Arabidopsis thaliana: one gene and its partner. The protein of the gene in region 1 interacts with the protein of each later gene in a biochemical or structural test. Each region holds a gene or a part of one and is shown in the gene's direction. Other genes may lie near its edges.

Region 1 (6,498 bases):
TTTAAATACAAAATATTTATGATCATAAATTGTGGATCGTGCATATATAATTTCTCAAACGCTATACAGATAGAGACTTGAGTGTAACGCAAAACTCATATTAATCTGTGAACTGTAGTATTACTATTTACCTGGGAACATCTAATTAACCGTACCATAAACTCTTACTTTGTTGCCATTTACATGTAGTTTAACCAGATTGCTCTTGAAAATAGGAAAAACTCATGTGGTTAAACGGTCCGACTATTTATGATTAACAACTGCGATTAATTATATCTTAAGGATATTAATTATTATTAGCTGTCATACCATATAGCTAGGTGTACAAAAAGCTTTTTGTCCAAACAAAAGCTGTTGATTTCTTACTCGTCATTTCCTCATTTAGCACTATCATCATCACTCATCATCGATTCATCATCTTCTTCAAATTATATACTCACGATATGTATAATATTATTATTCATAAGAATACTCATCATAAATAGCTTTAGAAAACCACATTCATTTAACCTATTTTAGAAAGTTAAAAATATTTGATCCTTTCAAACTTTCCCACTGTATATACTCCCATATTCAACCAGCTGTGTGTAGGGTTTATCAGTTGTACATTTAAAAACAAACAAATAATCTACTCATAAATATATAAAATTTCATAAAAAAAGAATTTGTTGTAACACATTGATTCTCCTTGAAAGGTTTGTGTCGGCTGTTCCAATCTATGACAAAACCGAAACTCAACCAAAAACAAAAAAAAACATTAAAGAATAAAAGAAATAAACGAAATATACAGAAATTGAAATAAGAATAACATTTATTAAGATGGACACAAAGCCGTTAGCTTCGTTCCGTTAAGGAACGTCTCTACGAAACAAATTGGCGTCCAAGTCTTTCGTTTTTGGCCACTTTCACCAACTTCGCGTCCGACACAGCTACCTTATTTATTTCATTTTTCATCATCTTCTTTCGAATTCTACTTTTTCTATTATTTATTACACAACCTCCTTAGATCCTTTGGGACATGGAATCGACCCATCATAACTTTTCTTTTCATTTTATTGTTTTGCGTATAAATACATTTTCTTCATGTAGGTCAAATGAATCACTTGATTATTTAAGAAAATATGTTTATTTGTTAGTCAACTAATTGGATTTTTTCGTTCCAAGTAAGGAAATTGGGTAGTCACCAACTGGTTGTTAAGGTCCTTTAATCCCTCAATTAAGCAATTGAGCAGACACAACACTTCTTCCTCAAAGCAACATTTCTGGCAAATCAAAATTCTCTAGGCCTAGGGATACTTTAGTAATTTTAATTACTTTATATTCAATATATTGATTTGTTGACAATTCTACTTATATCTTTATTTTTAATATGTAAATAATAGGAAGATATTGAAAAAATGGAGTTAATTAGTTTCCTCTTTTGCACGTCACTTAATAAGAGTATGTGTGTCCAATGTATTACGCGAAGAAACAAGTATATAACGTATAAACAGTAGGAGACCTCAAAAGATGTTTAATTTTAATTTTGATCACAATCTTTTTAGAGAGTTCCGTCGTTATAATAATTTAACAATTATACATCAAAACATCATAGATTAGTTATGAAGTATCATGTCACGTAACACATGTTTCTCGTTCGCTTATAACCAGGGATCTGCAATTATGTAAAGAAATTAATAAAAGCATCTGTTGGTTCAGACTAACCCATGATTTTATCATCACAACCACAACTAATTTGAGATTGCTTGAGTTAATTTAATCTAACAAAGCTTTGGTGGAAAATTTTAATAGTAAAAAATTTCAACGGTTGCTTGAATTTATGTCCAAGCTATTAATTAAACTTTATAAAAACATAGAATACGAAAACTCAACTCTTTTCTTCATTTTAAAAAACATACTTTATTTTTAATTATATTTATTTGAATATAAGCACCAAGTCAAGTCAATGACAACACTGCACAGTATTCCTTCTGGTTCCAATAATATTCTTTTGTTTTATCAGATAACTTGAAATATAAATGCATATAAAAAGTCGCATTTGTATAAATATTCTCCATTATCTAACAATAATCCTATCAGAGAAAAGGAAAAAAAATATGAAAATTTCCGCTCACGCGTGTTATTCTCTAAATGGTTGGCACAGAAAAAAAACCAACAAAAAATTATTAATTTTAATATAGAAGCTTCGGTTGGAATAGAAAAACAAACAAAAAAGAATTACTGGTAGAGAATAGAGATTGTCAAATTTCTCCATAGGTTAGTGATACACTGATATTTTATTAAACATTAATTAAAAAATCTGGGTTTGTTGTCGAGGTTCCAATGATAAGATGGTTTGGTTCTGTTCTTTGTTAGTGAATGCCAAATAAAGTTTTAAAATAGTATCGGAATTTAATAAAAATCGTCTCTTGGGATTGGGTGTCTTCTCTTTCTTTCTCTCTCTTTTTGTCATCGACTGTTCGAAGTTCTTCTTCTTCTCCCTTTTTATCTCTCTGTTCCCTGATTCAGCCACATCCACAATCTCTCTTTCTCTTTTGTATAGTTTATCATCTAGCTCTTTCTCAGGTTTCATTTCTTTAACTATAATAATTCGATTGTTCTTATTAGTAGCTTCTTGATTCAAAGCTATATGATTGACTTGTTGTACTCTGTTTCTCTTTTTACAAAAAGATTTCCTTTTTCGAATTTTATCATCATCTTCGTCTCTGTTAAATTCTTACAAAAGTATGAAATCATCAGAACTTAAAAAAAATTAACTTTATATCTTTCATGATTTCAAACATCATCCTCTGTTTTTGTTTGCGTCACTGAATTGAAGTGGAAACTTTACCTAGGGTTTTGATATCTTCTTGACCTAAATTGAGTATTTCATATTTTTTTCATTTCTTGAATTCATCTGTAATTGCGGCGTATATAGAGATTAAGATGTTTTAACCTCTTTAAAGAATTGTTCTTTTATTTATCCAGTTTCAGTTTCAAACTCACACGTCTCTCTCTCTCTCTTTCTCTTTTTTCAGACAAAACATCAATCGGATGAAACTCACTTAAACAACAAAACACTTTCGATTTATTATCCAATGGCTGTGTATTACCCTAATAGTGTCGGCATGCAATCTCTTTACCAAGAATCCATTTACCTCAACGAACAACAACAACAACAACAACAAGCTTCTTCTTCCTCTGCTGCATCTTTCTCCGAGATTGTTTCCGGTGATGTTCGAAACAACGAGATGGTATTTATCCCACCAACAAGCGACGTAGCCGTCAACGGAAACGTAACGGTGTCAAGTAACGATCTAAGCTTTCACGGTGGAGGACTTTCTTTAAGTCTTGGTAATCAGATCCAGTCAGCTGTCTCTGTTTCTCCGTTTCAGTATCATTACCAGAATCTTTCGAACCAATTGAGTTACAATAATCTTAATCCTTCTACTATGTCTGATGAGAATGGGAAGAGCTTGAGTGTTCATCAGCATCACTCTGATCAAATTTTACCTTCCTCTGTTTACAACAACAATGGTAATAATGGTGTTGGATTCTACAACAATTACCGTTACGAGACATCAGGGTTTGTGAGTAGTGTACTGAGATCTCGTTACCTTAAACCAACACAACAATTGCTTGATGAAGTTGTTAGTGTAAGGAAAGATTTGAAATTGGGGAATAAGAAGATGAAGAATGATAAAGGTCAAGACTTTCACAATGGGTCTAGTGATAACATTACAGAAGATGATAAATCTCAATCGCAGGAGTTGTCTCCTTCAGAACGTCAGGAGCTACAGAGCAAGAAGAGCAAGCTTTTAACAATGGTGGATGAGGTAAGACTAAATCAAATTTGAATACTTTAAAGTGAGAGAGAGACTTTGGAGTTTTGAGTTTTGAAAACATTTTTGCAGGTAGATAAAAGGTATAACCAATACCATCATCAAATGGAAGCTTTAGCATCGTCTTTCGAGATGGTAACAGGTCTTGGAGCAGCTAAGCCTTACACATCCGTAGCTCTGAATAGAATCTCTCGCCATTTCCGCTGTTTACGCGACGCGATAAAAGAACAGATTCAGGTGATCAGAGGGAAGCTTGGGGAGAGAGAGACTTCTGATGAACAAGGAGAGAGGATACCGCGTCTTAGGTACTTAGATCAACGGTTGAGACAACAGAGAGCTTTGCATCAACAACTTGGAATGGTTAGACCAGCTTGGAGACCACAAAGAGGCTTACCTGAAAACTCTGTCTCTATACTTCGAGCTTGGCTCTTTGAGCATTTCCTTCATCCGTAAGTTTGTTGTTTGTAAGACACTTTCTTTCTGCTCCTCATTGCTTCATTGATAACCATTTCAATCGTTTTTGTAGATATCCTAAAGAATCAGAGAAAATCATGCTTTCAAAGCAGACAGGACTATCGAAAAACCAGGTTCTTATTGGCTCAATCTTTGGTCTTGCTTTTATATGAGTGGTATTCTGATTCTTGGCAATTTAGGTTGCAAATTGGTTTATTAACGCGAGAGTTCGACTATGGAAACCAATGATTGAAGAGATGTATAAAGAAGAGTTTGGAGAATCAGCAGAGTTACTCTCTAACTCTAATCAAGACACCAAAAAAATGCAGGAAACATCTCAGCTCAAACACGAAGACTCTTCGTCTTCGCAACAACAGAATCAGGGAAACAACAACAACAACATCCCATATACATCTGATGCAGAACAAAACCTAGTCTTTGCAGATCCTAAACCAGACCGTGCTACTACTGGAGATTACGACAGCTTGATGAACTATCATGGGTTTGGTATTGATGATTACAATCGTTACGTTGGCCTTGGAAACCAACAAGATGGCAGATATTCTAATCCCCATCAATTACACGACTTTGTTGTCTAAAAGATTCCTGAGCTTTTCACAAGCTTAAGAACTGGCAATGCCAGTTGATTGGGGGAGTATGATTCTTGAAGCGCAAGAAAATGCGCTCTTGGCATTTTTATAGATAGGGGTTATACAAATATGTATATCTGTAATATTTGTTGTGGCATATATAAAGGATAGATTTTGTGAAAACTTTAGGTGTTAGACTTTACATTTGTATATGAAAATTGAGCTTTGTGTACACTTTGGTAAGCCGATATTGTAATGTTTTTGTTTATAATCTTCATGATGGTATAAACAATACTTTTAAGTGTGAACAAACTGAAAAAGATTTGATCTAATTTCCTCATTTTGTTACAAGAATTGGAACAGATTTTGAGTTCCTCTGAAACTTGTGTAAACAACGAAACGTTACACAACTTTTTAAACATTCTCTGTAAATGGTTGGCAAATTCTCAAATCTTTTCTAAAATGACAAGTTTGTTTCATTACTGAAAATTATCCCCACAGGTTACAATGAAACACACAAAATATCCAAAAAGAAAGTTAAAACACAGCTCTAAAGGCTATAGCTGAACCTGAATATCTGTTTTATACAAAGCTTTCCTAAATAACCCGCATGCCTCTGATCCAGATGGAGGGGTTTCATCATAGCGGAGATGTCTGATTAAGTCCCTGAAATGTGTGTATTATTGGTTATTTACAGGAATGTTTCATTTCTCTAGCAAATCAGGATTGAATATTCAGTGTATGGATCTTTACCTCTATGCTTGAAGAAGACCGGTTATTTCGATGTCTAGACCAGAATCCCTTCTTCAATGCAGAGTCTTTGGACGAGGGTTTATTCCACTTGGAGCTGATAGAAGCAAAGTGCCATTTCAAGAATGACTTATTAGACGAGCTCTTGCTACTGCAACTAGCTTCCAGCTTGAGAGCTTTGCCTTCTCGTTTCCCCATTTTCTGGAATACAAACTCATCGCATTCACTCTCACCGTAACTATCTACCACACGGTTTTTACATCTTTTGTACTGCTTTGCCTTTGCTTCCGCCTCCGCTTTTAGGGCTTTCCTTGTTATTTTCGCAACCCGTTTCTCCCCAATTGTGCATATGGGACAAGCAGGATCATACTTCTCTATATCAGTAGTCATGGTCTCTAAGCACTCTGCGTGGTAAACATGACCACAGGCAAGAACAGCAGCGATTGGGAGCTCAAAAGTGGCTATAGAAGACCTCTCGGTTAGCAACTTTGAACAAGCTCCACAAACCTGCTGATCAACAACGGAAGGGGAGAATGAGAATCTGCTGCTACCACCACTTAGTTTCCGTCTGCCAGAACCCAAGTGTTCGCTATCAAAGGACCATCTATCCCTTTGAGAATATGCCACGAGCTCAGAAAAAGTGTTCATAGACCAGCCACCTTCAGAAGATGCGTACTGGGATCCAGTGGCGAAGTCATTGCTACAGGTCGAAAGCACAAAGGACGACCTTCCTTCTGAGATTGAGTAATTATTAATTGGGGATTTCAGTCCTAAAATTTGACTATCAGAAACCTGCCTAAACAACTGATGCCCAGGTGAACGCCGAGCCCGTCTTGATGGTGTGGATTTAGGAGGAAGCAAACGCGTGTGAGCCGATGAAAGAT
Region 2 (7,073 bases), 5.2 Mb from region 1:
TTATCATAAGATATGCGTGAGGTTGGCCAAAAACTCATCAATTAACCAAATAAGAAAAGTAAAATTGTATTTTGCTTTGCTAAAAATGTAAATATTTCATTGAAAAATGAAAAAGGTTTAGGTAATACAATTAAGTAAATCCTACAATTTTGGTTCCATGGCAAAAGAATAAAATTGTATTGCTTTGGTAAAAGTTGATCCAACTAATATATTCAGTAGAAACTGCAAAACTGAAGAAATAAGTTTGTTTAGTAGAATTGCTTTCGGTTATGTAATGAATATACATCCAAAATGGCTTTTTAGTAATGATGTCTTTTCATACTCTTTCCAATCCCTACTACTTTCAGATTATTTGTCCTACTATTATAGAGATATACGTTCGTTTTCAATAATATGAAAAGTGATATATATTTAAATAGTGTGATATATATATAAGTTTTGCAAGTGCATCACTTCCCAAAATCGCATAAATCATTAATCATATTGTCGAAAACAGTATAATAACTTCTTAAACGAAAACGCAGCGCAATTAAAAATAACAACTAGAGATAATTGACAAAACATTGATTAATATTTACCTATAAGTTAATTATTGTATTTAAAATTTATTTAAAGTTCATAAGGAAAACATATGCAAAAATATTTATATCTAATATTTTGCTATGTTATCCTTTTTTTTTTTTACGTTATCCTAATTTTGTTTATCCTAATTTGTTGTGGTTAAAATCTTATTATTGATAAAAAGAGAACTTTTTTTTTTGTCATCATAAAAAAGAGAACTTATTACTTCGATTTTAAAATTCTATGAGCGTAGGAGACAAAGAAAAAAAAAATAAAAAAAAAAAGAAGAGAAAAATCACTTCTTTTCTTCTTTTTAGTCCAGATCCAACATATTTTGGATAACTAAATGAAGATTTTTTAAAAAAATATATTTTAGGGTATATATAAATCATAATTTGAAGCAAATGAAATAAAATCCAGTTTGGTAATATATAAATATGATTTGATGGGTTCCTTGTAATCTCTCTCTATCTATTAGTTTCTCAGTTATCTTTTCTTTGCCAGAAATGGCAGTGAAGGCAGTGGCTGAGGAGAGAGTTTTTTTTCTTCTTTCATGGGGAAAGTAAAACTTTGCCTTGAAGATTTCTCTCTTCAATATTTTTCTAAGACTTTTGATTTCAACGAATCACTGTCCTTAACCTAAAAGCAAGAAAAATTAGCTTTATACTGGTCTTTACTTTTTTTTAACATATTTATTTTTATATAGTTTACTTATAAACATAGACATACGAGTATGGGAATATATAGTATATCCAACTTCTAAATAATATTTCGAATAGTGATAACAAAATTAGCAATACATACGGCTAGTGAAATGTTGATCGAATAAACGGCACTGATGTAATGTACTTATCAATTTTGATAATTTTAATTGTATTGTTTTTCTTTTTTTCCCACAGTATTGAACTAGACAATTAAATTTAAAGTAAAATTATACATTTCTTTCGTTGTGTATTAAAGTAACATGCATAATATCATTTTCCTTCGTACAATCCTCCAAATTGACAATTGATGAATTACTTTGTCAATCGTAAATGAATTTTTCTCAAGTCTGTATACTATTTTCAGGGATAAACAGGTACAGGTGTCCCATGCTTATTCTCTTGATAGTAACATGTGTCCTATGTTGAGTCAATTCTACGTTCGAAGAAGTGCTAACAATTGTTAATAGCCTCGTATATTATTCTAATTAAAATGCCTCGATAGATTTGGTTAGTGGTCTGAATGTGATTGGTTATTTTTTCAAGTGGCAAGAGGTCTACCATCTAATATTACAATCAATCGACCAAAAAGGTCGAGAACATGATAATGGTGGCAAATACAAATGGTTCATTGTTGTCTAATATAACAAGCCATCAGTTGTCACTTTTTAAAAACAATACAGAATACAAGATACTTTTTTTTTAAGGTAAAATGTGTGTTTAATATTTTCGTTTATATAACAAATAAACAGTTACATGTTTTACTCTATGATTATATTTATGACATTTTTCTTCTTCTTAACAACATTTTTTTCCCATAAGAACATTTACAATAGTATTAAAACTTTGATTGCAATCAAATGTTAGATCACTTATTATAAAATTACTAAGACTGCTATCTTTTCCTATTGACAAAAGCGAATCCAATATATGTTACTGAAACAAATGCGTAAATTATACTATATGGAGATCTATCGGTTAATTATTGAGAGAATCTAAGAAAGTTTTTGAGTACAACAGTCCTAATAATATCTTCACATACCATATAATATACATATATACATATACACAAATGTACTTTTTAAACCAACATCAGCATACGTATATCCCATCAGGAAACTTAGACTTTTGGGAATTCATGGTATGAAAACCAAAACCAAATGACAACATTCGATTTGATACTCCCGACCCATGGTAAAGAAATAACAAATTCCAATATATCTTTCACTGGACTTTCCGAGGCACATTCCGGTTTTCTCCATTTCAAGAAATTGTCAAAAATAAATTGAGATCCGGTTTATTACCTCAAAAAAGAAGAAGAGAAATTACAACATTAATTTCCGAAAAGGCATAAATGAGAAATCATATTTCAGCAGAAGAACACAAAAGAGTTAAGAACCCACAGATCACACAACCTCTGTCCATGTCTGCTTTTTACACTTTTTTAAAATAAGTTTCTCCTAAAAAGTTATTTCCTATTTATAATAATTTCCTTAGATTTATCTTCCTGGTCTCTCTTCTGCTGCTTCCCTCTCCCCCATAACTATCACTATTTAGAATTTTCAATGTGGAAAAGGAAGCTGATTGTTGAAGCATAAATCCCGGGAGACCACTTTTGCATTTTCAAATAATTAAATTAAACCATAGATACACACACACAGTTACTTACTCTTTTAGGGTTTCCCAATAAATTTATAGTACTTTAATGTGTTTCATGATATTGATGATAAATGCTAGCTGTATTTACAATGGGGGCTCCTCTTTTTTTTTCTTTATGTTATTTTCATTTTTTATTTCTCATAGCTATATAGCAAAGCCAAAGTGAATAATAATACTAGTGAGAGAAAGAGAAGATGGAGAGTGGTTCCAACAGCACTTCTTGTCCAATGGCTTTTGCCGGGGATAATAGTGATGGTCCGATGTGTCCTATGATGATGATGATGCCGCCCATCATGACATCACATCAACATCATGGTCATGATCATCAACATCAACAACAAGAACATGATGGTTATGCATATCAGTCACACCACCAACAAAGTAGTTCCCTTTTTCTTCAATCACTAGCTCCTCCCCAAGGAACTAAGAACAAAGTTGCTTCTTCTTCTTCTCCTTCCTCTTGTGCTCCTGCCTATTCTCTAATGGAGATCCATCATAACGAAATCGTTGCAGGAGGAATCAACCCTTGCTCCTCTTCCTCTTCTTCAGCCTCTGTCAAGGCCAAGATCATGGCTCATCCTCACTACCACCGCCTCTTGGCCGCTTATGTCAATTGTCAGAAGGTGATGAGAGAAAGAAACTTGAAAAAATTACTTTGAAAGTTTCTTCGTAACTCTAATGATTCTTATTTGATTTTCTTGCACAAAAAAGAAGAGAAAGATTCTAGAAACCCTAATTACCAAACTTTACCTTTTATTTCCTTTTTACATAACCCTTTACTTGATGTCTGAGTTTGATTTTGATATCTACTTTTGTTTACTAGTTACTTAACCCAGCTAAGTATATACAAATCAAAGGATACAATTTTTCCTATATTGAGAAAGTTTCAAGAAACAATTTGTAAAAACCCTACTTGCAAGAGATTATCCAAAATATTGTATGTAGGCTTGAAGATTAGGACATATATAATTATTTCATTTTTTTCTTTACTATATTATATATCCACAATAAACGTGAGGATCCTTATCTTAGTTCAATTAACGTTTTTATGTCTATCATTTACTAATTACACAATTTCTTAAGGTTGGAGCACCACCGGAGGTTGTGGCGAGGCTAGAGGAGGCATGCTCGTCTGCCGCAGCCGCTGCCGCATCTATGGGACCAACAGGATGTCTAGGTGAAGATCCAGGGCTTGATCAATTCATGGAAGCTTACTGTGAAATGCTCGTTAAGTATGAGCAAGAGCTCTCCAAACCTTTCAAGGAAGCTATGGTCTTCCTTCAACGTGTCGAGTGTCAATTCAAATCCCTCTCTCTATCCTCACCTTCCTCTTTCTCCGGTTACTCTCTCCTCTCTCTCTAGTTCTCTGTTTTTTTTTCTTTCTTTTTAATTCATATTCTTGTTAATTATGGCGTCAAATTAAACGTAAGATGAGGAAAGTTGTTTTTTTTCTTTGTGGGTTTTAAGAAAGATTTTCCTTTTTCTGATTTTTCTTGGGTAAATACCCCTTTGATGGTTGTTACTAGGGTTAGTGTCAGATTGTTATATATAGCTTACTAGGTTTACGTGTATAATCTATCTATACATAAGTTAGTGTATGTAGTTGTTTTCATTGAATTAAAACAGTTTGTTTACTGTTTTTTTGTTTTGTTTGGAATTGAATTCATTTGCTTTGGTACAACAACAATCACTGTTCTTGTCTCTTTCTTCTCCGTTTGTTTTGGATCTATTTAATTCAAATGCATCAAAAAGAATATCTGGATCTAGAGTCTGCTCGTCCTTAGATCTATTGCTCAATTTAGACATACACATGTTTTTGTACGTATAATCACATATACATATATCTACACAATGTCATATCACTCTTCTTTTCAAGAATGTAGTTAAGTTTATATAGACACACAAACTCACATCTACTTAACATGTTACTTTGAATTATTTGGATCACTAGCCTATTCTTTTTCATTTCCCTAGACACATGTTCTTGTTGACAAATTTGTCTTGCTTTCACATGTTTAATCAATATAAGGTTATGGAGAGACAGCAATTGATAGGAACAATAATGGGTCATCCGAGGAAGAAGTCGATATGAACAATGAATTTGTAGATCCACAAGCTGAGGATAGAGAGCTTAAAGGACAGCTCTTGCGCAAGTACAGTGGTTACTTAGGGAGCCTCAAGCAAGAGTTCATGAAGAAGAGGAAGAAAGGAAAGCTCCCTAAAGAAGCTCGTCAACAACTGCTTGATTGGTGGAGCCGTCACTACAAATGGCCTTACCCTTCGGTAACTCTCTTCCCTTATACTCTAATTAAATAATCATTTCATGTTTTTAAAAAAGCATTTATATGATAGCAAATTCAATTTAGTTGTCTATTAGCTTGTTTCAATGTTTTTAGTGATTTTTGCATTCATACTATATCGTTAGGGACATTAGTTTATGTTAGCTCATGTTGGCATTGCACAATATGCATTTGCATAATTTGAAATCCTAAAAGCTGAATGAAGTGAACTTATTTAGTCTATGTGTACTGTTTTGGTCTATTAGCCGATGACAAACTTGATTCTTGCTTCCATACCTTTTTTAGGGTCCGAATAATATGTCAATCTTAGTCAAGACTACGATCAATTTCATCTTATGGCTGTGTACCATAACTTAGACTAAACTTTGTTGCACATATTTCAAGTCATAACTTTGGAAAGTAGGGTGCATGAGGCCATACCCTAATGCAATAGTAGCTCATGTCTTTATTACACTTGTATAGTGTCATTACCCATGTTCGTATGAGTAGATGGATTCTAAGTTCTCCTTACAATCTAGCAAATCGTGATGTAGCTGTGATCATGGACTGACCTTATATCGGAGAGAACACTTGATGATTGATTTTTTCTCGCATGTGATATGAAATTGCAGGAGCAACAAAAGCTCGCCCTTGCGGAATCAACGGGGCTGGACCAGAAACAGATAAACAATTGGTTCATAAACCAGAGGAAACGGCATTGGAAGCCGTCGGAGGACATGCAGTTTGTAGTAATGGACGCAACACATCCTCACCATTACTTCATGGATAATGTCTTGGGCAATCCTTTCCCAATGGATCACATCTCCTCCACCATGCTTTGATCGATCCTTTAAAACGTTTATTTCATTATATTTATAATCGTTAAACAGCTTATAATATGTATAATCTATGGTTCTCGGTATACTTGGAACATATGAAACATGTTCCGATTGATGAACAAGCGTTTGATGTTGTGGTGTGTATCCTTTTGTGTTGTTCTATTGTTATGCGAAATTCCTATTCCTATTATAATGATAGTAAAGCTTTTTTGATCTATTCTTTTTATTTGACAACCTTTTTGACAATTTGGACCATTTTTTGGTTGTATGTATATCTTCCTTGCTAATTTTTAAGTATTTGCGTCGAAATTTTGTACTTTTGGGATGGAAAAGACGAAAAGAAAAGAGAGAATGCTATTACTCCAAAAGACCTAGTCTGGCCCAAACAGACCCATCACTATCCCAAAAAGACAAGATCGACCAAAACTTAATCCACTTCTAATAGTTTTGTCCCTTAAAACGCTTTCTGCTGTATGTATCTTCACAAACATATGACTTATCTTGAACCGATTCAATACAGCAGCATTTAGCATTGCTGAGAGTGATCTTTACACATATATACGCTTATAAGCTTCTCAAATTCTTCTTCATATGCTCCTCATCATCTTCAGTTTTCAATAGCCATAATTTGTTCCTACCAAAGACGAATAGTTCCAGTTTCTGCATAGCCACAATCTTCCATTTGTTTTCCCACTTGATCTAACCTGAAACTGGGACATGGTTCCTGAAGTTAGTGGATGTGCAGAACAAGAGAAACTATGGATCGAAGATACATCGGGTCAGCCTCGAGGATAATATCATCACTGACATTTTGAGCACTAACTAAACAGTCCAAACCAAGCATTGATTCAAGACATACCTCTCTATTCAAGATCGCTATCTGTTCTTGCTTCTTCATCACTATCTTCACATATATCCTCAGGAGGATCGTATACAATCATTCCAGGGAAAAGCTCCAAGAAATCATCTTTAACTTTCTCTCTCAACTCAGGATAAGGAACGAGTCCTTTCAAAATAACTCGAAAAGGCAGAGA

Evidence for each region. Proteins that work in one complex are often made in the same cells at the same time.
Region 2: the proteins of BLH3 (region 1) and STM form a complex in vitro, tested with the Arabidopsis thaliana proteins (one study listed by BioGRID).

What each region holds. Positions count from the first base shown.
Region 1 is NC_003070.9:28,298,470-28,304,967, reverse strand, and holds BLH3 (BEL1-like homeodomain 3), read left to right. Parts: upstream 1-2,239; 5' UTR 2,240-2,565; exon of another isoform or gene 2,566-3,017; 5' UTR 3,018-3,077; coding exon 3,078-3,815; intron 3,816-3,893; coding exon 3,894-4,270; intron 4,271-4,347; coding exon 4,348-4,408; coding exon of another isoform or gene 4,409-4,447; exon of another isoform or gene 4,448-4,474; coding exon 4,475-4,873; 3' UTR 4,874-5,182; downstream 5,183-6,498. Other genes in the region: AT1G75400 (RING/U-box superfamily protein), read right to left, coding at 5,504-5,530, 5,618-6,498. UniProt on the Arabidopsis thaliana protein: Transcription factor that is responsive of the nuclear import of SHOOT MERISTEMLESS (STM).
Region 2 is NC_003070.9:23,057,765-23,064,837, reverse strand, and holds STM (KNOX/ELK homeobox transcription factor), read left to right. Parts: upstream 1-2,774; 5' UTR 2,775-3,115; coding exon 3,116-3,544; intron 3,545-4,004; coding exon 4,005-4,260; intron 4,261-4,950; coding exon 4,951-5,204; intron 5,205-5,832; coding exon 5,833-6,042; 3' UTR 6,043-6,256; downstream 6,257-7,073. Other genes in the region: AT1G62350 (Pentatricopeptide repeat (PPR) superfamily protein), read right to left, coding at 6,903-7,073. UniProt on the Arabidopsis thaliana protein: Required for shoot apical meristem (SAM) formation during embryogenesis. Negatively regulates ASYMMETRIC LEAVES1 (AS1) and ASYMMETRIC LEAVES2 (AS2 or LBD6). Probably binds to the DNA sequence 5'-TGAC-3'. Binds to RNA.